4 linked regions of the Nothobranchius furzeri genome follow. The protein of the gene in region 4 interacts with the protein of the main gene of each other region in a biochemical or structural test. Links are inferred from orthologs where the notes say so. Each region holds a gene or a part of one and is shown on either strand. Other genes may lie near its edges. The genes, in order: kif20a, bicd1a, ocrl and ras-related protein Rab-6A.

What was found.
Region 1: the proteins of ras-related protein Rab-6A (region 4) and kif20a form a complex in vitro, tested with the Homo sapiens proteins (2 studies listed by BioGRID). The link is inferred for Nothobranchius furzeri from reciprocal best matches to the Homo sapiens genes RAB6A and KIF20A.
Region 2: the proteins of ras-related protein Rab-6A (region 4) and bicd1a form a complex in vitro, tested with the Homo sapiens proteins (3 studies listed by BioGRID). The link is inferred for Nothobranchius furzeri from reciprocal best matches to the Homo sapiens genes RAB6A and BICD1.
Region 3: the proteins of ras-related protein Rab-6A (region 4) and ocrl form a complex in vitro, tested with the Homo sapiens proteins (2 studies listed by BioGRID and IntAct, with this or other methods). The link is inferred for Nothobranchius furzeri from reciprocal best matches to the Homo sapiens genes RAB6A and OCRL.

The regions. Positions count from the first base shown.
Region 1 is NC_091750.1:46,178,886-46,186,757, reverse strand, and holds part of kif20a (kinesin-like protein KIF20A), read right to left. Parts: intron 6,062-7,872; 5' UTR 6,056-6,061; coding exon 5,885-6,055; intron 5,055-5,884; coding exon 4,944-5,054; intron 4,847-4,943; coding exon 4,727-4,846; intron 4,567-4,726; coding exon 4,428-4,566; intron 4,325-4,427; coding exon 4,149-4,324; intron 3,626-4,148; coding exon 3,529-3,625; intron 3,369-3,528; coding exon 3,156-3,368; intron 3,028-3,155; coding exon 2,916-3,027; intron 2,497-2,915; coding exon 2,422-2,496; intron 2,342-2,421; coding exon 2,201-2,341; intron 2,115-2,200; coding exon 1,946-2,114; intron 1,878-1,945; coding exon 1,725-1,877; intron 1,584-1,724; coding exon 1,444-1,583; intron 1,278-1,443; coding exon 1,175-1,277; intron 1,083-1,174; coding exon 866-1,082; intron 791-865; coding exon 699-790; intron 616-698; coding exon 478-615; intron 100-477; coding exon 1-99. UniProt on the Homo sapiens protein: Mitotic kinesin required for chromosome passenger complex (CPC)-mediated cytokinesis. Following phosphorylation by PLK1, involved in recruitment of PLK1 to the central spindle. Interacts with guanosine triphosphate (GTP)-bound forms of RAB6A and RAB6B.
Region 2 is NC_091744.1:88,313,399-88,321,997, reverse strand, and holds the start of bicd1a (protein bicaudal D homolog 1), read left to right. Parts: upstream 1-3,906; 5' UTR 3,907-4,003; coding exon 4,004-4,219; intron 4,220-8,599. Other genes in the region: intestine-specific homeobox-like, read left to right, coding at 3-116, 187-336. UniProt on the Homo sapiens protein: Regulates coat complex coatomer protein I (COPI)-independent Golgi-endoplasmic reticulum transport by recruiting the dynein-dynactin motor complex.
Region 3 is NC_091741.1:85,266,155-85,272,885, reverse strand, and holds the end of ocrl (inositol polyphosphate 5-phosphatase OCRL), read right to left. Parts: intron 5,210-6,731; coding exon 5,090-5,209; intron 3,483-5,089; coding exon 3,398-3,482; intron 3,076-3,397; coding exon 2,948-3,075; intron 2,855-2,947; coding exon 2,743-2,854; intron 2,544-2,742; coding exon 2,419-2,543; 3' UTR 2,202-2,418; downstream 1-2,201. Other genes in the region: vimr2 (vimentin), read right to left, coding at 116-225. UniProt on the Homo sapiens protein: Catalyzes the hydrolysis of the 5-position phosphate of phosphatidylinositol 4,5-bisphosphate (PtdIns(4,5)P2) and phosphatidylinositol-3,4,5-bisphosphate (PtdIns(3,4,5)P3), with the greatest catalytic activity towards PtdIns(4,5)P2.
Region 4 is NC_091750.1:48,852,278-48,860,671, reverse strand, and holds the start of ras-related protein Rab-6A, read right to left. Parts: upstream 4,940-8,394; 5' UTR 4,665-4,939; coding exon 4,595-4,664; intron 2,128-4,594; coding exon 2,069-2,127; intron 1,993-2,068; coding exon 1,939-1,992; intron 1,492-1,938; coding exon 1,386-1,491; intron 1,243-1,385; coding exon 1,131-1,242; intron 929-1,130; coding exon of another isoform or gene 835-928; intron 1-834. UniProt on the Homo sapiens protein: The small GTPases Rab are key regulators of intracellular membrane trafficking, from the formation of transport vesicles to their fusion with membranes.

The sequences.
Region 1 (7,872 bases), about 2.7 Mb from region 4:
AGGGGGCAGCTGGGCACACCCCGCCAGAGTCTCCGCTTTTCGCCTCAAGTCTGCCTTGACCAGAGTCAGGTTGTTCTGGAGCTCCATCAGGATCTGGTTCTGAGAAAGAGTCAGTGAACAGGGTTAGACCAGACCACAGCGGAGGAAGGGTGAGATCGTGGGGGTGGAAGGATGAAAAGAGTGGGAGGAAAAATGCTACATGCTTTGATTAGCTTAGCAAACACCTGGTGAAGACGTTAGAAACCTAAATGTAGTTTTAAAGCTGGCTGTGCAGCAGGAGTGTTAGGAGAGCAGACAGAGGGAGAGAGAGAGAGCATAGGTCAACATGAGAACTGACATTATAATCAGCATGAAAGTAAAACTACAGCTGAAGAGGCGGGAACCGGGCTAGTTAACCAGGTTTTCTGCATGTTGAGACTAAAGCGCTGCTTCAGAACAGAAATGGAAACAAACTTATTCGGTTTTCACACGTTGTACCTGCTTAGCCAGAGTCTCGTCTGCTGCCGTTAGCGTGTGACGCAGCCGTTCCCCTCCGGTGTTACGACAACAAGCTCGTTCTCCAGATTGCAGATCGGTTCCCAGCCTCTGCAAATCCAGACGCAGCTTCTGCAGGTTCTGTTGGAAGGGAAAGGACATTTTTGTTGTCCGTGAAGGCGATGAGGGTCACGGGTAGGGTTAAGACCTAAGATGGTACTGACCCTCTGGCCCTCCTGCAGCTTGCGGTCAGCAGCACTGGTGATGGCGCCAGCTGAACCTGGAACTTCTAGCTGCATCTTCAGCTTTGTCAGCTCTGCAGACGCGAGCAGAGTGAGATTGTTAACACCTGCATCCCAACACTAGAACACAAAGCATCATGCAGCCAGACCTTGGGTCTTTGTGAAAAGCTGCGAGCGACACTGATCAAGTTCAGCGCGACACTGATCGAGCTCGGCGTGCAGCCTCGGTTCGGCCTGAGACATGAGGCGGTGAGAGCGCCGAGGGCCTTCCGAGTCCACAGGAGAGGCCGTGGACGGCACAGACTCGTGCTTCCTCTTTTCCTGTTCAAGGGCAGTGGATAACTCCTTGATCTCTTCATCACGCTCCTACAGAAACACAGGAAGCAGGTTCTCCTCAAACCTTTGATAGGATTAGAGAGAAGACCTTACAAAAGCTTTAAAGAAGTCCAAACCCTCACCTGAAGCTGCTGGCTGTAGAACATCTTCAGGTGTTTCTGCAGATTAGCTATCCTGTCCTCACATCTCTCCTCCATTATGGCCCTTTCAGCCTCCAAGGACTCGCTTCAGGACAAGAAGACAGACTAGCATCTTAATGTCAAACAGGTCACTCTTGTTTCTCGCTTGACGATCAGCTGTGTGTTTACTATTTAGTTCAGAAGCATCTAAAACATGATGCCACGGCAGGTTCTGCGTACATTAGAGCAAGAACAAAACCAAGCACACATACTTGAATCCTTTCCGCATGTCAGACATGACCACCATCACCTCCGAGACCACCTCCTCCCTCACATTAGCCTCCAGGACTTCCTTCTCCACTCGCTGGCGGCGCACTTCTCTCTTCAGCACATCGATGACCTGCAGCAGAGTCTTAATAACGTACAACCGGGTGTTAGAACAACTCGCTGTAGATGGAAATGCACCTTGAACTCATGTTTATCTTGAATGTTTGCATTTATCCAAACGTGCACAAAGCACTACGAGATCCCGCGTCTGCAAACTCAAACACACCTCCATATTCAACAACGTGATATCTCCATCTTCAACATCACTTTCCTCCTCTTCTTCCTCCATCACTGTGCTTCCATCACGGTTAGCCGCCGGCTCGCACAGTAGCGACAGGATGTAGGCCACTCTGGTCTTTGTGGACGGGCCGTGGACGAGCTGAAATGACAACATGCCTCATCTCTGAACTCAGAAGTTAATGGCGTGTGGGAGTGTTTTGTTTTTACCTGGGTAGCGATAGCAGAGAACTTTAGTGCCTGGAGGGTCTCATCGTAGATGGATGCACACGGATTAATGTTGACCACCATGCAGGAGGTCCCTCGGCCACAGAAGAATCCCTGCAGAACCCGGGTCAGTTTACTGTCCCTGAAGGGCACCACCTGAGGGGGTCGCAACCTGCAGACGAGTTAAAAAAGTTCCAGGAGATTTTAGAAACTGCATTTTTTTATTATACTGCATAACCATCCGGGTTCGGAGCATACTTGTTCTGGTTGTGCCTTAAGGCAGCGATGCAGCGCCCCAGTGTCAGGAGGGAGGTGTTGATGTTGTTGGCCTCCTTCATCCGCTCACCGTTACGCTGCTCCTTACAGCGCTCAGACCCGGCCAGATCACACACAGTCAGTCTGCCGGGCAGACGGAGCTTAGCTTCAGGACTTTTTACAGTAAAACAGGTGAAGTTTACAGTAATAAAGGGTAAACTTACTCGCTGATGTGCATGGCCTGACCTGAAGCGGCCTCTGGGCGGACATGCAGCACACGGACTGAGAAGACGCTGTGGCTAAAATCAGAAATGATTTTACAATGAGCAACGCAAAAAGTCCGACTAAATACCGGAGATGCACCGATTCTGGTTTCTAGGGCCGATAACGATTTCCTATTTTTGTGCAGCTTAACTCTGATTCTGGTTAGTCTCAAAGAGCTGTTTGAAATCAACAACTTTAGAAATATCGTTAACACGACTCAGCACTCGGTGATGGCGGGTTCACCCACCAGGAAACTTCCCAAGTCTGTATGGCTGCATCACAAAGGTGTAATCCTGGACCAAAACATAATAAAGCCATTTTTTTTACTTCAGATCTGCCAATCACCCATTAAGCTGATCATCGTGAATACCGGCCAGTTCCAATCACGAGCCAATTATCTGTAACTTTTCTGCTAAACATGTTTTCCCAAAGCAAAAGTTTAATGTTTGCCCACCTCCTGCTGGAGTTTAGGTTCAGGTGGGTGCTGGCGAAGCTCTGGCTACGACGTCCAGCCTTCAGAATCCTCCAAGCTTCCTCGGCGCTGCGGACTTGGATCCAGGTCAGATCTGATGTAGCAGAAGGAAATTATAAAAGTAGCAAGTATTGTGTCCAAATAAAAGTGAAATCAATGGAAACCATTCTCCAAGAAGAGCCCCAAAGCAGTTGCACTAGAGGAGCAAAGAGTCTGAATTACCTTTGACGTAGGGGTTGCCCTGCTTGTCGTCACTCAGACGCAGCGTCGCTCGCTTTCGGGGTTGCTGGGAGGGCGAAGCTTCCAGCAGGTCGTAAAGGAACTCGTTGTAGATCTCATAGAAGGACACCCAGATGGAAAACTGAACCCCTTCTTCCAGGTCCACCCCCCCACTGAGGGACAGACTGTCCGGCTCCAGACACACGGTGTTAGCATCTACACACACACACACACACACACACATCAGTTACACAGCTGAGACTTAAACTCTAGTTATGTTTTTATACAAGTGCAAACGGGACCGACGGGGAGCTGGGAATGAAATCTTTGGCTAACAGAACGGTTGATGCTTTTCTTAGTCTGATTAACGCCTCACCTTCAGGCTGAGTGGTGAAGCTAGTTGTAGAGAGTCCTCCGATGCCACTGTCCCAGACTGTCGTGGTTCCGGCGCGGCGAGAAGAAAGATTCCCATCCTGTAAAAACACAAATGAAACACGAGTCCAGCTTTGTTACCTTTCACTCGAGTGAATTCTTTTGGGGAGAAGTGTTTAAAAACGGCATTCAGCAAAAGTTAATCCTCTTCGCTGTTGTTGTTTCCCCAAGTCCCGAGAAAATCCTCCGCGTGGGCTTTGAATACTTTGTGTTTGCCGCTGAAAACTCGGTCCCGATGACGGAGTTGGACAGGCTGCAGTCCCGCTCTCCAGAAACATTCCCTTCAACCTAGCTGTCGTCTAAAGCTGCATCTTTCTGCAGCTCAAGAGCTGCAGAACTGAGTGGTATTTCGGAGCAACCATTTGGCATTTTATGCATTCCTTTTAAGTGTTGATAAAATAAGCCAAGTCATTGTGAAACATGGATTCAGACGGTTTTCATCTGGGGACTTTCATTTGCAGACCAGAAGCCAAACTTCACTCTAAACTCATAAAAACAGGTAAAGATTATGCAAATGAAATAAATAAAGTCTTCCTCAGGACTATAAGGATGTTTTGTGTTTACCTCTTTCAGAAGAGAGTCTCTGTGTATTTCCTCCATCTTAATCTCACTGGAGCTGAGCTGCCTCACATCCTGACACATGACTGGCTTCAGGTCCAGGGCGCCATAGAGACGCCCCTGCAGCTTCCTGAACAGAGACACTAAAGCCCGGGGCAGGAGGCCCGTCTCTCGACCGCTGCCTGCAGGTCCAAGGTTGATGTTTAAGGTTAAATCATTAAATGTCAGATCATCATGTAGAAACATCCACATCACGGAGCTGACAACAAACACCACACCTCCTACCTTGGATGGTGTAAGTCTTCCCAGAGTTGGTGACACCATAAGTGTAGAGGAGTCTGTTCTCTCCTTTAAGAACATCGGTTACCATCTTCTTCATCGTGTCCTCGTAAAACTGCTGCTGAGTCGTCTCCGGACCAAAAATCTGTAAAAATATTACAAATGTAAACATAAATAAACCTATCTGGGTCAACTGTTGTGGACTGATTGTAAATAAACATACTAGGATGTTATTCATCTTAAACATACGTTCATATTAGGGAATAAATGTTCCCAAGCATCCGGTAAAGCTGTGGCTTTTTTACCTTGGAGAAGCTGAACTTGTGGATGCTCTGAGAGACGCCTCTCTCTGCTGCCCTCATGTTCTGAGACTCCTGTGGAGCTTTGAGCAGCAGAGTCTCCTCATCTTGGACCATCACACAACCCTGAAAGACGAGTGAATCTTACACAAACAGCAACAAATATATGCAGAGAACTAAAAACTCAGTTGATAGTTACATTAAGATAACTTCACCGTCTCACCTGCTCTTCTCCTTTCTCTCTTTCTGAATCAGTGAGTGGACGAATACGCAGAAAAACCTTCACCTTCTCTGAGTTCCTGTCGTCACGGTCTCCGGGTTTCGCTGCTACATTCTGATTTAACATAAAATTATTAACAGATTTATTGTTTCATCATTTAATGGTTTTGTTACGACATAACCCCTTTAACATTCTCCATCTCCCGATAATAACATTTCACTTTCTTTAACATACAAAGTGCTACTACTAGTTCACCAGTTGAGTTAATTATAGAGTCACTAGGATAAAGACAATAAAGTTTATTTTACTAAATAGAATATATACTAAGAAATCACAATGTAGCCATAGAGACAGTACTTGGTATATATGTTACTTCTGAGATCCTCTGTGCATATTACAGTAACCAGTTGATGTTCCACAGCGAAGAACAATGATGTGTTAAAAAAGCAAAAAGAAGCCCGGAGCACTCGGTGACTAAATACGTCACAAAAAAGGCTAATTTTGACACCCGCTTGTGTCTTCGTCAGAAACTCGACACATTTTTGTCACTTTGAGTGCTCCTGCCTTCTTTTTGCTTTTTGCCTTGGTATACATGGTGTGTGTGTGTGTGTGCGCTCTGTCTTCTCGATCCCCAGTGAGTCAGGGCGGATGGCTGCTTATACTGAGCCAGGATCGTCTGGAGGTTTCTTCCTGTTAAAAGGGAGTTTTCCTCCCCACTGTCGCTGCATGCTTGCTTAGCATGAGGACTGCTGTAAAGACTCTGACACTAGTCAGTGACTTGATGTGATCTGCTTGGTTCCTTATAAAGGAAACTTTTTACTGATTGGCTTAATGAACTGACCTGTATTGGAATGATTACTTTGGGAAGTGCCTTGAGACGACTGTAATGATTTGGCGCTATATAAATAAACTGAATTGAATTAATGTATGTTCGTCCATCTCACCTGGCTTGTGAGGGGTGGCTGACCGTCCAGGCCAGGGGAAATGACAGATATCTCAGGCAGACGTGGTCTGCTCAGCCCGCCGTTCTCTGCTACCGTAGACTCAAACACAGGTAATTCCTCCTCCTCCTCCTCAAAAGGGTATCCACACGGGGAAGACAGGGGCAGTGCCATGCTCTACTGCAAAAGAAAATGCTATCAGTATGAAACAAGTGTGAATATGTGTCAAAGTGACTGATTATTCAATTCAAAAATACTTTATTAATCCCAGAGGGAAATTGATTGCTGTAGTAGCTCAGAATAATAATAATAATCAAGTCATCAAAGAGTTGTTGTATATTACAATGGCTGTTGGCAGGAAGGATCTCCAGTAGCGGTCAGTGTTGCAGCGAAACTGAAGAAGCCTCTGACTGAAGACACTCTTCCGTTGTCGGACAGTCTTGTGAAGAGAATGCTCAGGGTTGTCCATCATTTTCTTGATTCTCTGGAGAATCCTTCCTTGCATTATCTCCTCCAGCGGTTCCACAGTCGTCCCCAGAACAGAACCAGCCTTTGTTATTAGGCTGTTGAGCATTTTCAGGTCCCTGCTTCTGATGCTGCTACCCCAACAGACGATGGCTGAAGAGATTACACTCTCAACAACAGATTTGTAGAAGATCTGGAGCATCTTGCTACAGACATTGAAGGACCCAAGCGTCCCCAAGAAGTGCAGTCTGCTGTGTCCATTCTTGTAAACGGCTTCGCTGTTCTTTCTCCAGTCCAGTCTGTTGTCCAGGTGAACTCCAAGGTATTTGTGTTCCTCAACCACCTCCAGTTCTTCTCCCATGATGGAAACAGTGTTTGACTCCACCCTGTTTCTTCTGAAGTCTAAAATCATCTCCTATGTTTTGTTCATGTTCAAGGTCAGATGATTGTTTCCACACCATGCCACAAAGCGCTCCACCAGCTCTCTGTACTCAGCTTCCTGTCCATCTCTGATACACCTGACAACTGCAGAGTCATCCGAGTATTTCTGTAGATGACAGGTCTCTGATTTGTACTGGAAGTCTGAGGTGTACAGGGTAAAAAGGAATGTGAGAGTACAGTCCCCTGTGGTGCTCCAATGTTACTGATCGCCTGGTTTGATGTGCAGTTCTTCAGCCTCACAAACTGTGGTCTGTTTGTCAGGTAGTCTTTGATCCAGGTGATAGTTGAGGCCCCCACCTGTGTCTTCTGGAGTTTCTGGCAAAGTACATCAGGCTGGAGTGTGTTAAATGCACTGGAGAAATCAAACAACATGACGCTCACAGTGCTGCCTGCTTTGTCCAGATGACAGTGGATTGGTTGAAGCAGCTGGATGATGGCATCTTCAACTCCAACTCATGGCGATAAGCAAACTGCAGCGGGGCCTGATATGTCCTAGTTTGCTTATTCAGGTGGACCAACAGGAATCTTTCCAGGACCTTCATGATGTGGGATGTCAGGGGAACCGGTCTGTAGTCGTCATTAACTGATGAGCGAGTTTTCTTTGGAACTGGAACAAGGCAGGATGTCTTCCACAGGCCTGGAACCTTCTCCTGGGCCAGGCTGAGGTTGAAGAGGTGCTGCAGAATCCCACAGAGCTGCTCTGCACAGGCCTCTGGGTGAGTCCTTGAAAGGGCTTGGAGTTCCTCCATCTTGTTGGCCAGTGATCTCACATTGCCCATTATGATTGATGGAAGAGATGGTTTGAATTTCCTCTATCTCCGTTTTGCTCCCGCTCTGCACCCACGCTTCTTGCTTTTTAGCTCATTTGGGATTTGTGGCTTCAGTTGAGGTATTATTTCAGCCTTTCCAATGTTAATCAGCTGCTCCCGATTGTAAACCAGCTAGCTGCCATGGTTACACATAACAAATGCTCAAAAAGTGAAAAAATAGTAAAAATCCTCCAAGCTTCACAGCACCAGAAACAGAAAAGTAAAATATAAAAAAATAAATAAATACTGTTTTTCTTGAGAAACTAGAAGAAAAAA
Region 2 (8,599 bases), on a different chromosome or scaffold from region 4:
AGATTTGGTTCCAGAACCGCAGAGCTAAATGGAGAAAAACTGAGACTGTAAAGGAAATGGAGCAGATGAGCAGACAGCGCTTACATTCAAACCATCACCACCTGCTTTATCGGGAGGTAATGTCACACAGATTCAAACTTTACCAATCCAGCATGTCACTGTTTTATCCTTTGCCTGCTCTTCCAGGAGGCCTTACACTGGCTGCCACGTGTCTCACCTGAACCGTTTCAGTCGAGGCTTTTCTTCAGACCCGCATCAACACCGCTTCTGCTGACTTACACACATTCCCCAGGTCACAGGACTCAGTGTTTTGACAGGTTGGGGACAAAACGATAGCTCCCTGACTATCTGGCTTTGTTAGTGGATTGTTTTCTCATCAGACGTGATGAATTGATCCTAACGAGTTTCTGTGGTTGAGCAGCAAGCTTTAATCTGTGAAAAACTTTAATTGTCAAATACGGTACACAGTGTTGATAAACTCCAATATTGCTGCTCATCAGCAAGCAGGGGATTTGTTTCCATTCAGGAATTAAAACCAACCTTTAAACCCTTTCTCTGGCTTTCTTTAAACCATTAAAACCTTTTGATAAGTCTGCTTTGATTTATTTGTACATATCAGGATTTGAAGGCACACGCCGTGCCCGCCGGTAGACACTGTGTTATTGCAGAGCATATTTAGGCTTTTTTTTTCATGACACCACACTTCCTTGTAGGAGATAAGATAGAGCCGTGCCATGAAAAGTTCATCTGGTTGACTTTCTGACCACCTCTCCTTATCTTAATTTGGATTTGTAAACCGAGGTTACTCACAGGTCAGCTGAGCCTTAACAAATCAGTTCAAAGGGGGAAATATAAGCTAATGCTAACTGTTTACCTGAGCATTCACCATAAAATAAAGAATATCCGATTGTGTTATGTTTTACATTTTAATGCAGTTGGATGTGTTAAATTCAGCTTCTTCTCTGTAAAACCTACCTTTTGTTAACAAACTCTTGCATGAGCCAATTTTTAAATAATGACCACTTCTAAGAAAGATAGTGAAACACCACCTTCAACATCAATTTAACAACTGATTTGACAGGACCATAACTGATTACAGAGCTGAGAGGACGGTTCAACTTTTCACCCCGCTCATATCACCTTTTATTGCACGGGTGATACGTGTTACTGCAGCTGCACGGGCGTGTCTGAGCAGACAAAAATACAGTAGGTGGTGGGAAGCAACACAAACGCTTGGCCAAAAAAACCACAACTTTATGGAAAAGTGGGCATTGCTGGTATTTCTCTGTGTTAAAAAGTTGCATGTACCTTTTATGAATAACATGTTACCATGCGGGCCTACCCACCAAACAAAATCCTGGCATAATTACTGAAACAAGCTTTTAACCCTTTAATGGAACAAAATTTCATTCTAAACCTTAAAACTTTACATTTACACTTTAACCCTCCCACTGTCCTAATGGGTGTGACCCCGCGGGGTGAGGAGTGAGCACCACCTCACCCCTGCCACGTGGACCTCAAGGGAGAAACCAGCAATCCTGCTCAATGGTCAACCTTCCTCGCGGGGTCACCCATTAGGACAGTGGGAGGGTAAAAAGGCCACAATGCTCCAAATGCTCATTTGGATTAAAGGATGCTATAGTCTCAAATGAATGTTGTTTAAGTTATAATGTAAAAGGAGATTTTGTAATTGGAAACAGTGAAGGTTTATGTTTATCTGTTATTTTATAACCCAACGTGCTGACCGAGGTCGAGGATTTTTTCTTATTGCAGCATAAAAATTCATCTTGATGTAACTTTAGAAACTTTGGTCAGTGTTGCTTTAAAGTCATGCTGGGAAAATAAAGACGAAGGGAGTTTTCTGCCAGACAGTGGTTGAATTTTTGTTCCAAGTTTTTTGTAACCATTACGTAAAATAGTGTAATAAATGTGATGCCTAATATTGAATGTTTTGATGAACTGTGCTGTTTATGTCACACTGTAATAAACTGTTGGCCAGAATAACTTAAAAACTAAAGTTCAACAGCTGCCTTAAAAACTTGAGTCATGTCAACTTAAATAAACACTTTATTTCAACTCTTTCTGTCAAGTTGTAAATAATAAAGTAAATAATAACGATGCTTTGTTTGAATATTATATTGTGAGTCGAAACAACAAATCTTGTTAGGTTACAACGTGGAAAAATCATTTTGTCTTGTTAAACATACACACAATTCTACATTATGTTAACTTATAAATTAGAGTTAGACATGTATGGTTGTCCTTTCAAATTAAAAGTTTGTGTTAACTGAACAAATGGATGAAATGTTTGAACTCATGTTATCAAAACGGCCGCTGCCAGGGTTAGGGTTTAATACAGGCAAACGCTGAAGCAGGAAGCTAACAACACTGAAACATGCCGGCTAACTCACGCCTCACACACACACACGAGGAGCTGAGTCCTGAGCATTTAGCAACAACTACAACTTTAAGTGCAGTTTTGTGAAACGGCATAACGATCTTATTCCTACGACCACCCTCCTCACTTTCAGTGCCAACATGACAACAACAAATAACTCCACCGTTGGAACGCTAAACAAAGCAAAAACTAAGAACAACACAACCGCCCACAATAAATGTGTATAAGCACCTCAAATGGTGTTTATGCACTGAAACAGTGGGCGGGGGCATATCTACAAATTGCAGTTTTAAGTTGACAACGCACAAGAATGAGGAAAATACCATCATCTGTTGAAATAACAAGCACTTTTAAGTTTTCAATATCAAAACACACAAAACTGAGTTTAACAACTAAAACTTATCAGGGAGACTTAAGTGAAATAGGAAAAATAAATTGAAACTACTTTATGAGGCTGTCTTTTTTACAGTGCACAAACCTCTATAATTTTTATCACTGAGTTTCTATCAAGGTGTGGAGATGAGGATGCAAGTGAGCAGTGGGCAAGCAGGTAACTTAAGTTTTAAATAACTATAAGATCAGTACAGGGAATGACACAAACTACAAAAACAGGCTGAGTACCACAGCAGGGGGTAAAATACATGAGGAAGGTGAGAGGAAGGGCAGGTGTGCTGATAGTGATTACAGACAGCTGTGAGGGTTACCAGGGAAATGACATACCAGCTTCTTTTTTTAATAAAAGATCTGATCATCATCCATGCAGCTGACTTGTTTTATGTGCATGTTTGCTATTTTACAAGCATGCCTTCAGCACCAGAAATACAATACCAGTTTATCTCTATACCACATTTAAAATACAGCCTGGGAGCTGCCCAAAGTGCTGCAGATCGATTAAAACCGAATGAAGGCAAAAGCAATGAGGATAAAAATACTGAACATTAGAGATAAAAACAATAAGAACAATAAGAAACACATTAAAACAATAAAACGAGTCTCTGTCTAAAAGCCAGGTCGTAAAATTTGGTCTTTAAATGAATGTAATTTGTGCCAATAAAGTCTTTGGTGCAAATAAAAACAAAGCTTTATTTTTACAAATGTAACCAGAGGGTGGCGCCCTTTGACCCCTGAATATGCAGAAATTATTTGCTGTGTCAGAAAAAAGGTTGACCTTGTTTTGATTTTGAAGGTTTCATCTGTTTCACGTCATTTCTTTTCTGATTAAACCCAAATAATTTTGGTTTTAGTTGCTTCTCTTCACTCTCCGGGGGAGGAGGAGGAGGAGGAGGAGGAGGTGGAGGGGGAGGAGGAGGTGGAGGGGGAGGAGGGGGAGGAGGGGGAGGAGGAGGAGGAGGAGGTGGAGGAGGGGGAGGAGGAGGAGGAGGAGGAGGAGGAGGTGGAGGGGGAGGAGGAGGAGGAGGAGGAGGAGGAGGAGGAGGAGGGGGAGGAGGAGGAGGAGGGCGGATACTCAGCATCTCTCAGCCTCCGCCCGTCTCTCCCTCTCTTCCTCTCACTGGTTCTGTCTCCGCCCGAGACGAGTGACCGGGGAGGACCGCAGACCTGCAGGAGGTCCAGATCCAAAAGCCTGCGAGAAAGGGGGGGGAGGCGATGGCTGCCGGTGCGGGGCGCGGGGAATCGGTGGATCAGTACCGGGCCGACGTCGAGAGGCTCACGCACGAGCTGGCCGAAGCCAACCGGGAGAAGATCCGGGCTGCGGAGTGCGGTCTGGCAGTCCTGGAGGAGAACCAGGCGCTGAAGCAGAAGTATGCAGAGCTAGAAACGGACCAGGAGACTCTCCGGAAGGAGCTGGAGCAGTTACAGGAGGTAGGAGTTGGTCTCCTTATCCCAGCGACTTCAGACAGTGAGAGGATGGAAGCGCAGTGCGGCCAGCTGCGACCTCTCTTGGCAGGCTGGCTGCGGGTGAAGCGGTGCGGCATCCAGGGAGGAGCAGGCAGGAAGCGGTGTCAGCTGGAAGGGGGTAACGCTCTGATACCACAATAATGCATTATATCATATAATGGGTTAGGGTTAATTACATAATTTATATATAGAAAAATATCAACTTTATCTGGGAAATAAATGACATTTTATGTGCTGTTCTGTGCAACTCCTCACCTCAAGAGGCTGTTTCTATTTAGAAGACTTGTACATTTTAGGAAATCCTTAATGTTACGTATTATTTATTAAAAAATAAAAATAAAACAGTTTGGATCTTCATATTTGTGCAAATATAAATAAGGATGCAAGGCCAAAACGCTTATTTTATTTATTTCCGAGAAACGGTCACGTTTGGTGTGTTTACACTGGAGAAAAGTGCTGCGGGAGTCATCCTGACTAATGAATGCTGGGTGTGCTTATTGCTACATTCACTCATTATGGCGACATGGATCTGTTTATAGTAACAAGATGCTGATGCTGACAACGCCTCACAGTTCAAGGTTATGCAGAGCCAAAAAGCCATTGAGGCTCCATCTGAGACCCGTCAGTGTTTACGGACAAGCATCAGTGTTGCTGTGAAGGGTTGTTCAAATAAATGGAAATTTGTGTTTGGCTGAATATTTCTGCTGTTCTGTTGACGCACATATGCAATCATGGAGAGTCTGATTAGTCGTCTTCATATTAGCTTGTAAGGTTCATGCATGTTTTATTCCAAGTTTCCTGCATTTGCTTGTTGATCTAACGGATGCTTACTGCCGTTGATGTCCACACCCAGTTTGCACAAAGGACTAAAGCACGTAGAGTTGTGAGAGGTGTCCAGACACAGAGAGGAAACTGTGGGTGTTGTAACCAAAATCATTGCAATATTTAAAAAATAGTCAATATGTTTTTATGCAGCTCAAATGAATATTTATTTGGAGCTAAAACAGAAGATTGCACAATAGTTTTGTTTTTGTTTTCAGGCTGAATTTAAAATGTTTGTGCCTGTGTTAATCACACTCACATGTGCTTGTGCTGCACTTATTCTAATTTATTGAATAATATTAGCAGACCTACTTGTCCAATAATGATCTTCGTTAAGTCTGTTCACTAATCTTTCATCTAAGGAACTGGATTCCTCCTGGGTCCATGTGGCCCAGACGTTTATGTTCAATCCCTTTTTTAAAGTGTTGTTGGAAACTTTGCATCCTAAACAGTATTTAAAACCCCAAAACTAACAACACGAGGCCATGATTTCAACTGTTCTATGCAACTATGATAGCCATACAGTAAATGACTATTTTCATACGTCATCTGATTCTCACGTGGATCTGTTTTCATGCTTATTTTTGAGTTTTGGTCTTGGTTTGCAGTGAAGAGAGACTCGAGTTAGAGGCTGTCAAGATGAGACAAAACAACAAAAAGTCCCTGGCTTTGGTGACTGTAAAGAGACACAATGGTCTTCACCACACAGGGACTTTTATGTCCGTCAGTCATCGTTCACTCACAGAAAACATGTTTTTGCTTTTCATCCCTTTCATATCTGACTTGAGCTTCAGCCTCTTGTCTGTCCTCTGCTCAGATCTGTGTCCGCCGGCCGGCCTGTCTGAGTGCCTGTCACATATTTCCATGGATTTGAGAGCGGATGCCCGAGCAAACCTTCCACTATAATAGCATCATTTCAGCTCTCCCTGCACTCTGGAGAGGTGCCTCATCCAAACTGAAGATGGGAAATGGAATGACCTTTGGGATGGGAGGGAATATCACGTCTCATAATGCAGGAGAGCTGTTCTTTGTTTCAAAAAGACTTCATCTTTTAGCAACCACGCAGTGTGACATCATAGTTGCAGGTGTAAACTAGTTACCTTAGCGTTCATGCTGCTGCTGTGTGTGCTACTGGTTCTGTTTCTGTCCAGATGCCAGACGGTGGGGCCGAGACACATCTGAGTGACTCAGCTGCTTTATGAAACAGGTTCTATGAGTTATGTGAGGCACGCCAACAAAACCATTCAATCCTAGTCCGTGCAAATGTTGTTTATCTTTTTGTTGCCTGCAGGGCCCCAGCTGAAAACAGAAAGCTCAAATGGTGCTTTTGTATTGTTGATTCTCCTCTTCACTCCCATCTCTTTTGCTCTCGGCTTTATGGCCAAATCATGCTCTCATTTCTTGCATCCCAGCATGTGCGCACTGTGTGTGTCTGGATAGCTGCCTAAGCAGAGACAGAAACACCCCATCCCCCTGGTCCGGGCTGGTTATCGCTGTCTCCAGGCAGATCAACCTCTCCCTGGACAGAGTAGGATGCTGCTGGAGGCGGTTGGAACAAGTTTCGTGGTCTGAGCTGCATCTTAAAAGCGTTCCAGCCTTTAAAGGAAAACAGTTTCTCTCTAGAGCTCATGTTTGGTTTCTTTTTTTAAAGCTGTCATAGTGCGTGTTTTCAGTTCTTTTCAATATGAAGTTCTCATGCAAACAGACGTTCGATGTTTCTGACAGCTGAAGCAAAGGACGTCACTTCAGTTGGAGCGCTCCAAAACCGTGAGAACAAACGACAAATGACCGAAGGACTGAAGATGTTTATGTGAAATTGCTCATTGAAAAAACTCAGATGTGGTGCTTTAAGGTCGTTTTGTAAATAGGACACCTGATTAACACATTAAGAGTAGACGCCTAGCTATTTTTACCCACGTCTGATTAAAGGACACTTTATGTGTGTCTGGGAACCCCGGTGGGTTGAGGCCATCACAGGGAGGCTGTAAATCAGTTTGCTGTCACTAGGGAGAAAGAACCCATTACAGGTTGTTTCTTCTCTCCTCCTCCGTCTCCTTTCAGCTCCTCTTGTGTTGCAGGTGGGGTTGGAAGGAGAACCATAAACATGGAGAAGCTGAATCGATGCATCATCTTTTTTCCTCTAAACCTTCACCTCACCATCTCCGGTTACCTCGCTCCCTCTTTTTCCTCCTCCCCTCTGATCCCCCTGCAGTGAAGTGGTAATCATGCATTGATTTCTGCTCTGCTTGGTGATCAAGTATCATGTCAGAGCTGAGCTGCTCTCTATTGTGGATGATGCAGCTCACACTGTACATGTTGATGCAAAGACATCTGACAGAAGTGAATGCCTTCACAGTGAATTAATAATAATAATAATGCATTGAACTTATGTAGCGCTTTTCAAGACACCCAAAGACGCTTTCACACACTGCCAGTGATGGTAAGCTACTTGTTCTGTTCTGGTCCTGCTGGACCTGACTGCAGCCTTTGACACTGTTGACCATCACCTGCTACTGGAGAGGCTGAGAGACTGGGTAGGCCTATCAGGATCTGCTCTGGAGTGGTTCTCCTCTTATCTCTCTGAGCGCTCCTTCTCTGTGGCCGTCTCCAAGTTTAGGTCCTTCACCACCTCTCTTACCCATGGTGTCCCACAAGGTTCTGTGCTGGGGCCTCTGCTCTTCCTCCTCTATCTGCTTCCTCTTCAGCACATCCTGAGCTCCTTCAAAGGAATCTCCCACCATCTTTATGCAGATGACATCCAACTGTACATCTCCTTTAAGCCCCATGAGATGTCTAAGCTGCAGCTGTTACACACCTGCTTAGACTCTATCAGAACCTGGATGGTGGGAGCTTTCTTCAGCTGAATGAAGATAAGACTGAGATCCTCATCTGTGCCCCAGACAAGCTGGTTCCCAAAGTCAGAGACTCTCTTGGTCAGCTTGCTTCTCACACCAAACCCTCTGTCAGGAATCTTGGCGTGACCTTTGACCCAGCTCTCACCCTGGATTCTCATGTCAGTTCTCTTGTTGGCTCTTCCTTCTTCCATCTCAGGAACGTTGCTAAGCTGAGTCCCATTCTGTCCCGCTCTGAACGTGAGACAGTTCTCCACACCTTCATCTCCTCCCACTTAGACTACTGTAACTCTCTTTTCACGTGTCTGAGCAGAACCTCCCTGAACCGTCTACAGGTGGTTCAGAACGCCTGTGCTCGGCTTCTGACCAAGTCCTCCAAACACACCCACATCACCCCGCTTCTCCTCCAGCTTCACTGGCTGCCAGTCAACTTCAGGGTTCATTTCAAGATCCTGGTTCTGGTCTATAGGGCCTTACATGGACAAGCACCATCTTACATTGGTGATCTTCTTAGTCCCTACACCCCCAGCAGGTCCCTGAGGTCCAGTGACCAAAGCCTACTGGTTGTGCAGCACCAGGCTAAAGGTCAAAGGTGACAGATCATCTGCTGCTGTGGCCCCCAGACTCTGGACCTCTCTCCCCCTGAGCCTGAGATCAGTGGACTCAGTGG
Region 3 (6,731 bases), on a different chromosome or scaffold from region 4:
CACAAGTACTAATAAAACTAATTCGAACACATTTGATCTAATATCTAATGCAAGATTTGATTTCCAAGATAAGATTTGAGCCAATCTTGGAAAAATACGTGTGACCTGCACTGACCTGGCAGAGGCCCGGTACCGTCCTGCACACCGTGAACTCAAACCCACGTCTCTACTCCAGCTTTCATCCTCAAACAGCTTGCGGTAAGAAGACACCCTGAGCATTGCCATAATGTCTGATAGATTCAGGATAAAACACAACAGAAAAATGACGACAGCAGCTGTGTGGCAGGTTTTATAATCACGGGGAATGAGAATGTAGCAGAGAGGTGAAGCAGACCAACTATAGAACCATCATCAGCCAGGAGGGATTTCACTTGTTCCTGAGAAGTAAACTGTTAAATCCACAAGACCGTTGTTATGAAGACTTTCCAAAGGAAGTAAAGATAAAGACACACACCATGGCTCTGTACATTATTTTATTTCTTTAAATAAATTAAGAGTTCCAAAAATCTGCTAAGTGGAAAACATTTGTTTCACTGTCCTTCCAAACAGAAGTCCACACCAGGGTACAGCTGTGTGAACTAACACCTAAAATCAGAAGCTGTTGATTATATTTATGTTTCGTTTGCATCTATGAAGACAAAGTAAACAGATTTGCTGCAAAATGGTTTCTCCCAAATGTTTAATCATCAACAACACATACAAACTCACAGGCTCCAGCCATCTTTGGCAAATCTCAGCTTAAATACATCCAACAGAGGATTTTAGTGTGTTGACTTCAGGTAGACAAACGAAAATCCAAATAAGAAAATTAATTAAGGTCCTAGGAGGATTTTAACAACTTACTATAATCCTCAGCATTTTCATTTTCCATATTGTGGTGGCTTCATAAAATGAAATGCTTCTGGATTTCTAAACCATCAGCAAAAGAATCCTTCAGCTATTAATACGGTTAAATGAAGCAGGCAGGACAAATTGTGAAAACTAACTGCTGCATCTGTTGAGTCAAACGTTTAAAGAGGAAATATCCTGTAAACACAGCAGAAAGAGTTCCTTATTTCTATAACTGCGTGTGTTACATAACAGTAGCTACAGAAAACTTTAGAATCTGTGGTGCAGGTCAGAAAGAAGAGCAGACATGAGAAGAGCAATGATCCATGACATTGTGTTTAGTCTCCTCCTCAAAAATCCTGCAGCACTTAAGAGCTTTACACAGCACCAGGGCTGCACACAGGTGCAAGAAAAACACAGACAGATGAGTTTTCAGGTGTAGCGGATGTGAGGAAGAACACATGTAAACAAACAAACAGTACCGCCATCACAACAGACACCATCACAGGGTCAAACCACCACACAGTCACGAAACGTTGACTATTTACATAGTTTAAGACATGAAAAAATTAAAAACAACAAGAGGGTGGACCGCTTCTGATTCCGGTTAACCAGGGAATCAGTGTGTTAACTGACTTCTGCCATTACTCAAGAGGGTTTGACAAAACACTGAAAACATTTGCAGACACTTTTCTTTAAGTGGGTGGTAAAACTGATGTGGTTTTTAACTAATGTGGGTACAAAAACTCACCTAACGACAGCAAAAACAAAAAAATAAGAAAAGGAAAAAAAAACTGCTAAAATGGTGCAAACTTTGAAAAACACTTAAATAGCTGTTTAAAAAGTACAGATTCGTGAACTTAAAGTATCTTACTGTTGCAGCAACAAATGATTGTCATGATTTATCTAAAGCATAGAGATTCTCAGTGACAGGATGCTCTAAAACCACTTGAGGGTTTGAAACACGTACTTGCTCATACATTATTCTAACTAACTACAGCTTTAAGGACATACTATTCCTGTCTTTAGAGTAAGTAAATCTTTTGTTTAGCCTTTATGGGAAAGCTCCAAGAACTGAAATGTTGAATTTACTTAAGCAAGTTGTGTCAACACTAAACCTAATGTACATTACTCTACATTTTAGCGACGAGGTTTATTGGAACTAGCTGACATTACTTGGTTAAGTTAATGTCATTTATTACAGTGTACATAGTGTTATTGCATTCACAACTCTCACTACTGAGATTTTGGCATGAGCACCTAGAAGAGCTGAGAGCAAGGACCGGTCGGGGGGGTTACACATCCTTTATGTCATTAGAAAGTGCACAGGCCTCAGTTCAGACATCTTCTCCCAACAGTTTCCACATCCAGCATCGGGTCACCCCATGTACCAACTGAAGATATGACACAGTTTCAAATGAAAGTCTTCGGTACCTCAGATATCAGATGATCAAACGGAGGGTGCACTGGTCTCCAACAGATGACACAAAAATAAGTCTGAAACACTTAGTGCAACACAGGTCCGGGTCGACTGCCATGCTGAGAATCCGCTCCAGCCCTATCGGCACCACGGGGAATCCTCAGCCTTGGTTATTCCTCATCTCTCGCCATGAGGAAACCCAGAATGAAGTCGATGGCTTTTTGTCGATCATGTGACGTCTGCCTGCTCATCAGGTTAGGAGGTGGTCGAATGAGGAGACTGGCAAAGAGGGTAGCTGAAACGCAGGAATAAATATTATAGAATAGTTTTGTTTAATTCTGTAATGTAATAAATGAAAGTAATCGATTCTCATATTGATATGGTCATTTTAATAATAATAACCAGACTTTCTTTAATATACTTATTGCTTTAACGAACCTTTGATCTACTCTGCAGTGTGGTAGACAAATGAGACAAAAATGTCCAGTACTCACCAACAAGGCTAGCCGTTAGATTGTTATTGGTGGAGTGTTTGAGGAGTTCTCTCAGAAATGCCATCAGGTAGCGAAACACGTTGCGGTGAGCTCGAGGCAACTGGGAGATTAACTAAACATCAAAGCAGAAACATAAAACACCACTAAATTATTACAAATAGATCTCATCTAACTTTCACAGTACATGTTTGTGAAATGACTCCACCTGTTTGCAGAGGCGGCTGTCATGAGAACAGTCCAGGCACCGTTGGTAGAGTTCGTAACACAACACGGGCTCCGGCAGCGCCTCCAGGAAGATCAGCAGAGCCTCGGCTACAGAGTGGTTACAGCCAGCTACAGGAACAGTCAGGGAAGAGCCAGTTTTCATGGATTCCAGTGAGTCCACAACCACAAAACACAAATGTCATGTACTGTAATGTAGCATGAGTCATTTGGGTGTTGTGATTAGAGCTTAGATGTAACCTCTGGAGAATCTTGCATCACTTAAGATTAAACCCCAAGCTGGGCTTTCTTTATTATAAATTATGCTACCTGTTTTATTTTAATATCGGTTTGTGGTTTTTTATTTGGTTCAGCTCCTTGAGATTTTCAACAAAAATTAAATAAAGGACAAAATGCAATCATGTCTCTGGACTGGCTGAACAGTGGAGGATACGTAGGGAGTCTGGGATGCTGGTGTCAAGACAGTCAATGATGCTCTGCAGCTCCTCCTGTAAGCCTGGTGTCTGAAACAGGTCCTCCTGGAAACCAACAAGGAACATTTACACTAAATGCATTCTCACTCCAGTTGGCATCATCCACACATTCATTTCAGTCAAATTACATCACTATCTGGATTTCAATGCACAAAAATGTACCTCAGCCAAACCCTGGCTTTCCACTCAATGCTTAAGCACCGTGTAGTGTAACAGGCGCGTTTTTTGCATTTTTTTATTTTAAAAAAATTGAACATTTATTATGAAGACACTGGGTTTATGTTTACATCTACCAGCCATTAGAGGGCACTACTGCAGGTTGCCAAACAGTCTGCTCGGCACAGAGAGGCTGGCATTGTGGAAAATGGTGGACTCACCAAGTCAAACAAATGCTTCTGAGCCAAGAAGATTGTTGTCCTTCACAAAAGATCTAAAGCCCTTTCGCACTAGCATCAGCTCCACGTGGTCTGAATAGCATAGAGTGTTCGCATTAGCATAGCCTGCTTTTTTTCAGGGTGCAACCAGACTGTTTTTCAGCCCTCTTCCTGAGGTGGTCTGCTTCAGGATGATCAGGGCCAGCACACCCACTGCTAACTGATAAGCCGGCTCAAATTCACACCTTCCATTAGGAGAAGTGTCCGATTGGTGGGTAGAATCAGCCCACCTGGGCTTTGGGCATTATCATGCTGATTACCTAGGAGCTGAGAACTTCTCTGACTGCACTCCTTGCATTCTTAAGCAAGGATGTGTGGAATCAACTGGGCCAAGCTGGGCTGGGGCTGACTGGGGCTATTCGGGCGTTGTGGAGCCGATGTTAGTGTGAAAGAAGCATAAACCAGAGTGAGTTTAGGTGAAGCCTCCAATAAATAGACCCAAATACAACATTTCATGTATCAGCAGCAAAACTGGTATCCAGACGGCTGGAAATCTTGTTCTACTGCTGCAACTAAAATCTCCACACACTAGATGTCACATTGGTGTTTGTGTTCCATATTCCACCTTTAACTTCCTGTCTGGCCCAACCTAAACTGTTGAGCTTGACACGTTCTGGAAGCGCAGTGCATAAAAACTAGACCCAAAAGGTAAATTTTGCTGAGTGATGCTACACTTCTGGGATCCATCCACAAGTTGGAAACATACCCATATCTATAACAGCGGCTATTAGCTGCTTTTCAGATATTACACAACAAATATAAAGGAAAGGTCAGTCACAGTTCAGATAACGCATTCAGAAATCCTCATTTAAAAAAGGTTCATTCTGTGTGACAAATCTGTATAATCTAAATAAATGTTATCTTTGCTTTGTGTTATAGCCACATAGTGAAATATATGCACATTCAAACTTGTGATGCTTTGTTTCATCTGAAGAATGTGTTTTTTATAGAATGAACACAAAACCTTTGATTTAGTTTATTCTAATACCACATTATTACCACAAGTTCTGTGTCATGTATGAATTGCTGACATTTAAGTTAAGTACATACATTTTATTTATATACAAAAATAAATAGTAAATGCAAATAAAAATGTCACAAAAATAAAAGATAATTGAAGCTGAAAATGCCTTTATAAAACTATGGTTTTGTAAAAGCTGATTTAGCAATATGCTACATTCCTTTTTGGCTTTTTCAAATCGGTTTTAGTTTTCTCACCTGATCACAGGAGTTTTTGTAAAGGTGGTTAACCAGGACCCACACCTCCTTGGGGATCTTCAAAGGTATGTCGTCAGAACTTGCTCCATCAGCCATCAGAAAGGTCACCTTGGACTTTTCCTGATTAGCAGAAAATAATGTTTAACACAACTCTATTATGATCAAAATAATTATATAATGTTGCAGCATTGTGATTATACAACAAGATTCATGCAGTTTGACAAAAGTGTAAAAATAAACAATAAAAGGGGATCATGCGAACACTTATTGATGGAACAACAGCGAGGTCAAGTTAATCTCCGAGAGGGCTTGAATGTGAGCTGGGTATCAGGTTCTACTGGTTTCTGCAAATGAATCCTCGGCACTCAGGAGAGAGGTCCAAAAATAACTACAGCTACTCAAGCTGCTCATGAACACATGGAAAAATGGAGGGCACCATGAGGGCAATTATGTGGAGAATGGTATCACCAAAACAAGAATATGGAATACTTTACTCTATAAAATACACTGCTCAAAAAAATAAGACATCCTTGATCTGAATGAATGAAATATTCTTATTAAATAATTTGTTCTTTACAAAGTTGAATGTGCTGGTGACAAAATCACACAAAAATATTGAATGGAAATCAAATTTATCAACCCATGGAGGTCTGGATTTGGAGAAACTACAGGCTGATCCAACTTTGATGTAATGTCCTTAAAACAAGTTTAAATGAGGCTCAGTAGTGTGTGTGTGGCCTCTATGTGCCTGTGTGACCACCTTACAATGCCTGGATCTACTCCTGGTGAGGTGGTGGATGGTCTCCTGAGGGATCTCCTCTGAAACCTGCACTAAAGCATCCAGCGATTCCTGGACAGTCCGTGGTGCAACGTGGTGTGGGTGGATGGAGTGAGACATGATGTCCCAGGTGTTTCTATTAGATTCAGGTCTGGGGAATGGGCGGGCCAGACCATAGCATCAGTGCCTTCATCTTGCAGGAACTGCTGCACACTCCAGCCACATGAGGTCTAGCATGTCTTGCATTAGGAGGAACCCAGGGCCAACCATGCCAATGTTTCCTTATGGGAAGCAGAGGGCCTGGTAACACTCCCATTGCTGCTCTTTCCTCTGTTCTAAATGACAAGAACATGTCTTCAAAACCACAACAAGAAAAAGCGCTAAAGCCTTTCTTCTAAAAATGTTTGTGTTGTCGCCAGATGCCATCTTTGACTATAACTAAAAAGACTACAGCGTGATGCAGTCGTCATTTCCGCTTTTTTTCTGGTTATTTTTGAGCTGGCTAGTCCTGCCCCTCCTGGTGCTCTCTGCCTCTGAGTATCCAGACTTTGTCTATTCTACACAGAGGGCGAGTCTGGCAGCCCAGGCTAGCCCACCGCACCAGCATATGGTCTCACAAGGAGTCTGAGGGTCTCATCTTGGTACCTAATGACAGTCAGGCTACCTCTGGTGAGCACATGGAGGTCTGTGCAGCCCCCCCCCCCCCAAAGAAATGTCATCCCACAACATTACTGTCTCACTGCCAAACGGGTCATTCCACAAATAGATTCAGCTTCCTCATGGCCTCAGATGTGCCCCAACTATAGAAACTTAAGTCAAAATTGAAAACCTTCACGTTTTCATCAGTCTTTGAATAAATGCTGC
Region 4 (8,394 bases):
CACCCCGGGACACGCACAATCCACCAGACATTAAAACAAACAAAAGGAGAAAAACACAAAAACACACTGTGATTAAACTGAAGCACATCAACAAGCCGTGCTCCTCCCTGCTGCTACTGCCACCTTACCTCAGACCAAAAGCCTCCCAGCCATCTTTAATATTTGTGGCTTCTACATGCAGCTCTAATGCTTGTGAACGCACCCCCAGAAAACCCCTGAGCAAAAGGAGGATTCTCCTTTAAGGAGATAAAGTTGATCACACTGTGCCAAAAATGCTCAAAACTACATCAGACTTCTGCTCTAAAGTCACCTACATTTATTAAAAAAAAAAAGATTATAAACCAACTGACTGTAAAGCTTGTTAATAAAAAAAAAAGTCTAAAGAAAACTATGAATATGAATGTGCACGCCAATGGAGTCAGAGAATAATTTACATGCTAGTCAAATTAAAACAACGCAACAACATCTGTGGGAAATAAAACATTATTTGAGTGGATAAAAGTTTAATTGAACTTGTTATTTAAATAAAATTCCTTCACTATTTTCTGGTCATGATCAGGTTTTTGCTGTTTAGGTTAATAAAGGAGAGCTTGGTACAAATGTTCATTTCTAACCCTAAATCAACAATTCTAAAAGGTATCAAAATTCCCTGAAAACCAAGACAGGAAATGAAAAACAATCTCACAGCTATTTGCACAACTTTGATTAAAACTCCTTTGTTATTTAAGTTGACTTCTTCATCTGGTCTGATCGGAGCGGGAGACTTTTGGTCCTGAAGCTCGGTGTGCAGCGTCTGCAGCAGGACTACAGAGCACGGCTCACACACATCCTTACCTGCTTGACATTGTAGCCTGCTTTCGCACTAGTCTCAATAAACATTACATTTAGTTCTTTGGCTTTCCGCTCACCCTCTTCAATAGATACTTGCCTGTGGTAGATAAGGAAGTTAAAAGATGCAACAAAAAAAGAAACAGGAAGACCGAAAGCATCAACTAGACAGACGTAAATCAGAAAACAATCATCACAAATGACATCAACGAAGAGAAGAGAGAACTTGTTCCGCTGCAGATCGGCTGGTGGTAGGCTGGTGTTTAAATGGAAGCAGTGATTTGAGCTGGTTTAAAACTTACCTTTTGTCTGCAAGATCTGTCTTGTTTCCCACCAACATAATAATGACATCACTTCCTCTCTCCGTTCTCACATCATCGATCCACTTTGTAGTTTGCTGGAAAGAGTTGACATCTAAAAGGAAACCAAACAGGAAGCAGAGCATCACTACTCAGGAAGAGAAAGCCTAAAAATCAAAGGAATGAGCGACAAGAAGACATTACAATAACAGCGGATGTATGAGGATGTGTTTTATTTCCAGATGTGGCATCACCTACTTGTGATGTCGTAAACTACGACAGCAGCAGCCGAGTCTCTGATGTAACTTGGGATCAGGCTGCGAAATCGCTCCTGCCCCGCCGTGTCCCACAGCTGCAACCGAATCTGTAGGGCAGGAAGAGGATGGAACAAAGAATAAAGAAATAAAATCTAATAAAACAGAGACAATGGAATAAATAAAAAAAAAAGACAAACAAGCTAAGTTTATGTGATGACAAGCAAACTGAAAGAAGAACAAATAAAGTATGGCTGAAGGGAAAACAGAGACAGAGGGAGTAGTGCATGCAGGTAGAAAAGCTGTCTGGGCCTGGAGGGGAAAGAAAAAGTCACCCTTCACTCGTCAGGGTAAAGTTTTCTGTTTTAAAATGTGATGATGGATTAATGCAGAGGTGGGAAGAAGAGGGAGAAAACTTGGTACAAACAGTGAAGCTAAATGGCACCATAATCACATTAGAGAGAAAAACCAGCCCTGAGTGTGTGTGTGTGTTTGGTGGAGAAAACACACAGATTCTTTACCAACCCAAACCCTACAGGAGATGAAAATAAACTTACTGTTCTGTCTTCGAGGTACATGGTCTTTGAAAGGAAATCTATTCCTATTGTTGCCTGACAACAAATGGGGAAAATTACCTTTAGTCAGCATCAATCAGCATAATTATAATCAAAGAATAGGTGAACTCACCTGATATGTGTTATCAAAGCTGTCATACATAAACCGGGTGATCAATGAAGTCTTTCCCACTGAAACACAAACAAAGGACTAAATATTTCAAAATGACCAAAATAAAAGTTTTTGACAAATATTGAACATAAGTTCATTGATTAAAAACATCAGAATATTTATGAAACCAAATTAAAATAAATGAATCGAGTTTTCTTCCACAAGAAAACACAATGATGACCTAAAGCCCAAAAGAAAATGACACGTTGTCACAAATGTAATAAAATTACAGCTTCAAGTTTTTGTTCACATTTCATAAATTAAAAGTTATTAAAGTAACATCTGGCATATGTAAACAATTCATAAAGTACTTTATATACTATAAATAAAATTTTATTGTTAATATCTTGATGTTACTTTTTATTGTTAGATCTACAGTGAAGCACTTTGTGAATTTTATTTCTGTGAACGGCGCTGTATAAGTAAAGGTTGAGTGGAGTATACTGTATATCTGGGGTATTTTTGTGGAGAACATTTGCTGCTGAGTGGATTCATGTTGGTTTGAGATCTGGGGCTGAGCTCCTCGGCCTCAGACCGTTTCTGTGTCGAGCTCGAGTTACAATATCGGTTACAGCGTGCATCAAGTGACGGTGACACAGCTGAAGCCAACACAGCAGCAAGGACCAACCGCTGATTACAGATGAGCAAACACAATATCTGTCTGCCTTATCTGGATGAGTCCCATTAAAGGCTGTGCCACGTGGAAATAAATGTACCGAATGATAAGGAAAGGTCAGATTTTGTAGAATGTCTTGTTCTCACCCTAAAGGAAAGTGAGTGTTGCAGTGAAGACCATCAGACATACCAAAGAAAAAGGCTCTCTAAGGGCTTGTGTGTACATTCAAATTCAAAAATGCTTTATGAATCCCAAAGGGAAATTAGAGATTAGAGGGAAATTTGTTTGCAGCTCATTCCTTTGATGATTTGAGTTTATTCGGAAAATCTACATGGTAGGGCTGCACGATATTAGGGAAACCTGCAATATTCGATATCAGTGATTAATATTGCGATGACGATATTACTTTCGATAAATAAAAACTTAATTCAGGAACAAAAATAATCAAAAACAAAGAAATAAAAAAATCATAAAAATGAGAAACGCAAAAGATGTGAGGAAAAGGAAAAAGAAAACGATCAAGAAAAGGCGATCAGTGGATCCCGGGAAAGGCAGAATCAGCAGAAAGAGCAGAAAAAAGCTAACTGTGTTTGCTAACCATTAAAATTATGTGCCGTTTGCCTCGGGGGCGGGCACCTAAACTATGAGATCCCACCTGATTGGCCAAATGGGTGAAGAGCTCTTTTTGATTTGTTTAAAAAAACATCATGTTTCTGATTGACAGAACACATTATGTGAAGCAAACATTTGAGCTGACCATTCAATGCGATATTTTTATGTTCTTTGCGATATGCATATTGCTCATGCTGATATCGCGATAACGATATATTTACGATATATTGTGCAGCCCTAATATATGGCTATATTATTCATTCCCAGAAAGTAATGCAAAGCAGACTGGACCGTGAACATGGGATGAAGCATTTAAATGTGTTAAAAACTTAAAAATAAGAACATTTTTGATAATAAAAGGACCTAAATTTTCATAGAGGTTAACAAGAAACATAAGAAGCCATCATTTGTTTGACATCGTCTTTTTCCTGCATAAATTCATCTCCAGAAAGGTTTTATATCAGAAACATATTCATGATTATAAAAAAAAGAAAGCTTTTACATGAAGTTCTGTTATAATGGGTCACCAACAGCTTGCATAAGAACAGAAAAGACTTGGTTCAGCTAAACCAAACCAACCTGAAACCCCAAATTAAGCTCACACAGTGGTGTTTTAGCTAAAGCTTGAGGGAAATACATGTACTTAACCTAATAACAGCACTACACTGTTCAGAGTACCGCAAACATCTTTCAGTTTTGGGGCAGATTGTTTGTGAACCCTGACTGGAACAAAGGTCAATGGGGGAGTGTAGGAATGTGACCAGGCAGGTTTGGATTATGGTAAGTGCCCCAAGGGTAGGAAAAAAGATGATGAATGTAATCATTGTTACGTTTACACACTAAAGCTGGGAATGCTAGTTAATAAACAATGATAAAACACTGTAGCAGCGTCATAAAGGAAAGTATTTATAATCAAACCGAACGTTTTACTACTTTTGCCACTTAAAACTGACCCGTGTTCTTCTAAATGAAACTTCATACGTCACTGACGCTGGTATTCGAGCCCACTGCGGTTAGTGACCTGGTGAACAAGTCCATTTCCACGATCATGAGTCATCTAGGTGAGAGTGAACGCCGGAGCCAGCGTGGACAAGACGACATCAACTGTGTCGCAATTTAACAAGTATTACGATTTGCAGCTAATGTTAGCAGGCTAACTGACTGGCGTTAAACACCGGAGTAACTCAACTATACATCCTAAGGAAACCAAGTTTAAATATAGTTAAGTTTTTATTTCTCCCAGCCAGTGAGAAACTTACCACTCTGTTCCCCAAGAAAGACCAGTTTAAATTTTCTTAAAGGGTTTCCGAAGTCTCCGGCCGTAGACATGACTGGATCAAACGAACCCGACAATCCTCTTCAGAAACTCTCCAGCTAGCCTGCTAAATGATAGCTAAGCAGCTGTTCTCACTATTTAAAGGTCCGGAATTCGTGTGCCAGCCTTTAAACCTGTCCACTTGTTGATGTGTGCTGTTCTGTAACCACCCCTCTTAGCGTTAATATACTATTTTACAACTCTGTGACTACTACTACCAAGTTAGCCTCAGTCCAGCAGATCAGCGAACTACACCGGGCCACTTCTTCTTCGCGCCGTATTTGCTGTTACAGCCGAACCGTTATGCTGCCATCTAGCGGTGAAACAAAAACAAACAACAATGACAACTGAAAACAATTCAACAGCAAGAAGATGATAGCTGGATTATACCATGCAGAATACGGATTTATTATGATTACATTCATATATAATTTCTAGATTAACTGTAGAATTTAAACAAATCTGGAAACGTAAAACATGGGTTTCGTGTTGGACACATGTTTTATGTTCATATGTCCACAAGAGGGCGGGCTCACACCACTGCAGACATTTCACACACTAAGCAATTTAGATTTTAATCTAATTATTATGAGCTGTTCTGAAGAACCTGGTCTGTCCTGTGGTTGTGTTTATCACCACGGTATGATACAGTCTCCATAAGTTTATTCTTTAATAAATTTTAGTCAACAAATCTGTCTCAACTATTTTCTTGCAAATTTTGCTATTTCATCCTAGTTACACCTAATGTTTTCAGTTTAATTTGCTCAAGTTAATTTGATGAGGTAAATACAAAGACTAGGAAAACGAGCAAGATCTGTGCTGCAAATAGTGCTTTTAACAAAAATGCTAATTAGCAACACTTGGGTCACTAATTGGGGTCAAAGGAGACCTAAAGGTTAGATCAAAAATTTAAATTACAATATATTTTGGAAGAGAGTGCATTATTTTGGTGTGCACTTTTCTGATCATCAGCCTTGTTGATGCTTGAATAATGTCACTTGTCTTTGCTCAGGGTGGACTATTTTGAGACATCACTGCAGGATTAACATGTGTGGTTTTATAGTCACTATAGTGATGGCAGCACTTGCTGGCAGCCTTTCAACATAAAATCAACTGGCATTAATTATTTGGCATTAACAAAAATTAGATCACGTTTAACAGGATGTAGGTGTGATAGTAGAACTTTGTGGAGCCGGCTTTGTCTGACACGTTTTTAAACTGTCATCTGATTCTGTTGTTTACAGGAGCCTTTACAGCTGGTGACCTCCAGCTTGTAGGACGACAGCTGTTATGAAGCCCTCTGGCAATTTACAAGGTGACTCTCTTTAGCTCCCTATGCAGAGATGGGTGTCAGAGTGAAAGTACAAGTTTCATTTTGTTGCAAATGTTCATAAAAATGGGTCTGATTCTTGTTTAATTCATGCAATTGGCCTCGCAAGAAAAGCAGAACTGCATTCCCATCCTGCAGCTGGTTCACACAGCACTTCTAAATGGAATGCAGCCCTTGTTAACACACCTGTGCTCTCCTGAAACTCAACACAACTCTCATTCATTAACAATCATTTTTGATATCCTCATTTCCTCCCTTGTTACAACACGTCATGAACGTTTTAGAGGTCAGAACACTAATCAAAGTCCCTTCATGGCCTTTGTAATGTTTCAGAGTAGGAGATGTTGTAATTTAGTGAGATTACACAACCTTAAAAGGGAAATCAACATTTGACTTGAAAAAATGTAAAAATATCCAAATTCTGGATCCCTACAGTGGAGTTAAAGTCTGCGGTATTTTTGTGCCTGCTTTAGCTAACCCTTCTAGGTCACTGAAGAGAAGACACACACCTGCGCCCCTTCTCATTCATGTCCCATTCCCGGAGTGCCGTTTGGCTGATGCCAGCGCTTCAGCTGCTCTGCTTCTGCCAAACCAAAGCCATCACACTCCACTGATCCCCCTCTTTGCTTTAGCACTCCTACGCCTTATGTCCTTGGTAAGGAAAATACCCCCACCCCTCCTTTCCACAGTCCCCCTGCTGAAGATGCTGATCTGGCAAAATCTCGGTAGATCTATGTCCCCCCCAGTCTCTCTTCATCTTTACCGCGTTCACATTTGGAGGGAAGGTTATGGAAAATGGCTTCACTTCATCATTTTTCTTTGAGAATCCACTTTAATATAATTTTGAATTTTCCATAAAAGCTCAAGGACATGCTCTGTAGCCAGGACTTCACATTGCTGTGCTGCACCCTGCGTCGTTTACTTCTGCAGAACTTGGCTCAGCGTCCTGAAAGGGAAAGCCTTATTACTATGACTCACATCTCGGGAAGCAACTTTGTGATTCTTTCTTTAGTTTAATCACCCTCTCCCCTGGGCTTTAGTGGAAGGAATGCAGATGTATTTGTCTTGCGGCTGTGAGTGTGTTGACTGCACACCGTACGTTTGCCTGCATCTGTGGGCGTAATGGTGGAGGACCAGCATACTTCCTCTCAACCTTAACATAAATCCAATGAATGCAGCTTTCAATGTCACTGCAAAGTACAATACATTGCTCATTTCTCCTGAGAGGGAGCGAGAGAGAGCATGGAGGCTTGCATGTAGGGTGGGTGGGGGAACTGAGAAACACGATGAGAGGAAATACAGAAAGGGCATTAAGGTTGGGTGAGGATCAAATAGGTGTGTTTTTGTACTCAGTACAGTAAGATAGACAAAGGTGAGGAGATAAATAGTGGATGTGATGGAAGAGTTCCTCTGATTCTCCTCCAGGAGGTTAAAAGAGGAAGAGATCATTTGAAGTGAACATGAAACACGGCTGAGGTCCCGGAACAAAGGGTTGCTGAGACACGCCAGGAGGTGCGGTTAGATCTCAGATTCGCCCTGTTCAGCGTCAGCCTGAGACAGGTGCAGCAGTACAGCAGGAGGGAGTCTTGCAAGCATAAGTGAAGCAGCGATCAGGGTAGCAATCCAAGCACATTTACCAGAGGAGGCGAGAAGACGAAAGGGAGGGAGTGAAAGAGGGAGAGAGATGAGAGGGAGCAGATCTCTGAGATGATGGGGAGGGAGGAGGGAGGGGGGTGTTGCATGCTCACAGAGTGTGACAGAGATAGAGCGATGAGCGAGGAAGAGGCACAGGGACAGAGAGGAGAGCACAGAGCTCTGAGAGCAGAGATGGGGACCGACCATTGAGACAGAGGTAGCTGGCAGGACTGAGATCCAAACAAACCGGAACGGGGGAGAGAGGGGAAGGAGGAAGAGAACGGAGGTGGAGCGAGAGAGAGAGAGGGGGGAGGCAGAAAGGGGGATGCTGGATGATGGAGCCCAGAAATAGGTTTTACAGGACAGCTTTTCATCCCTGCTCCCTGCAGCAGACATGACTCTGGGCATCGGAGTGTGCTGAAATCTGCCAGTAGGACGAAAGAGGACAGCAGGTCTGCAGCAAAGTGCTTTGGTTAATTCTCGCTGGATGCAGCAAGGCAGCTGATTTATTACTGAGGACCTGGATGGCAGCATGTTTGTGCACGCGGCTCTGAGCGTATGTATGTGTGTGCAGGTTTTTACAGGTCTGTGTAGTGCTCGGAGCTCCGAGAGAGCAACCATTCCTCCAGTCATGAAGTGACATTTAGCAGGCAGGAGCTTTGTGTGCTGGTCTGGATCTGCAGTCCTCTGTAGGAAGTGGGAGAGAGGGATTCAGAGCTGTCGCTGTGTGAAAGTGTGTGTGTGTGTTTACAGTGCTGTTGGCTAAGGTGAGCCAAGGA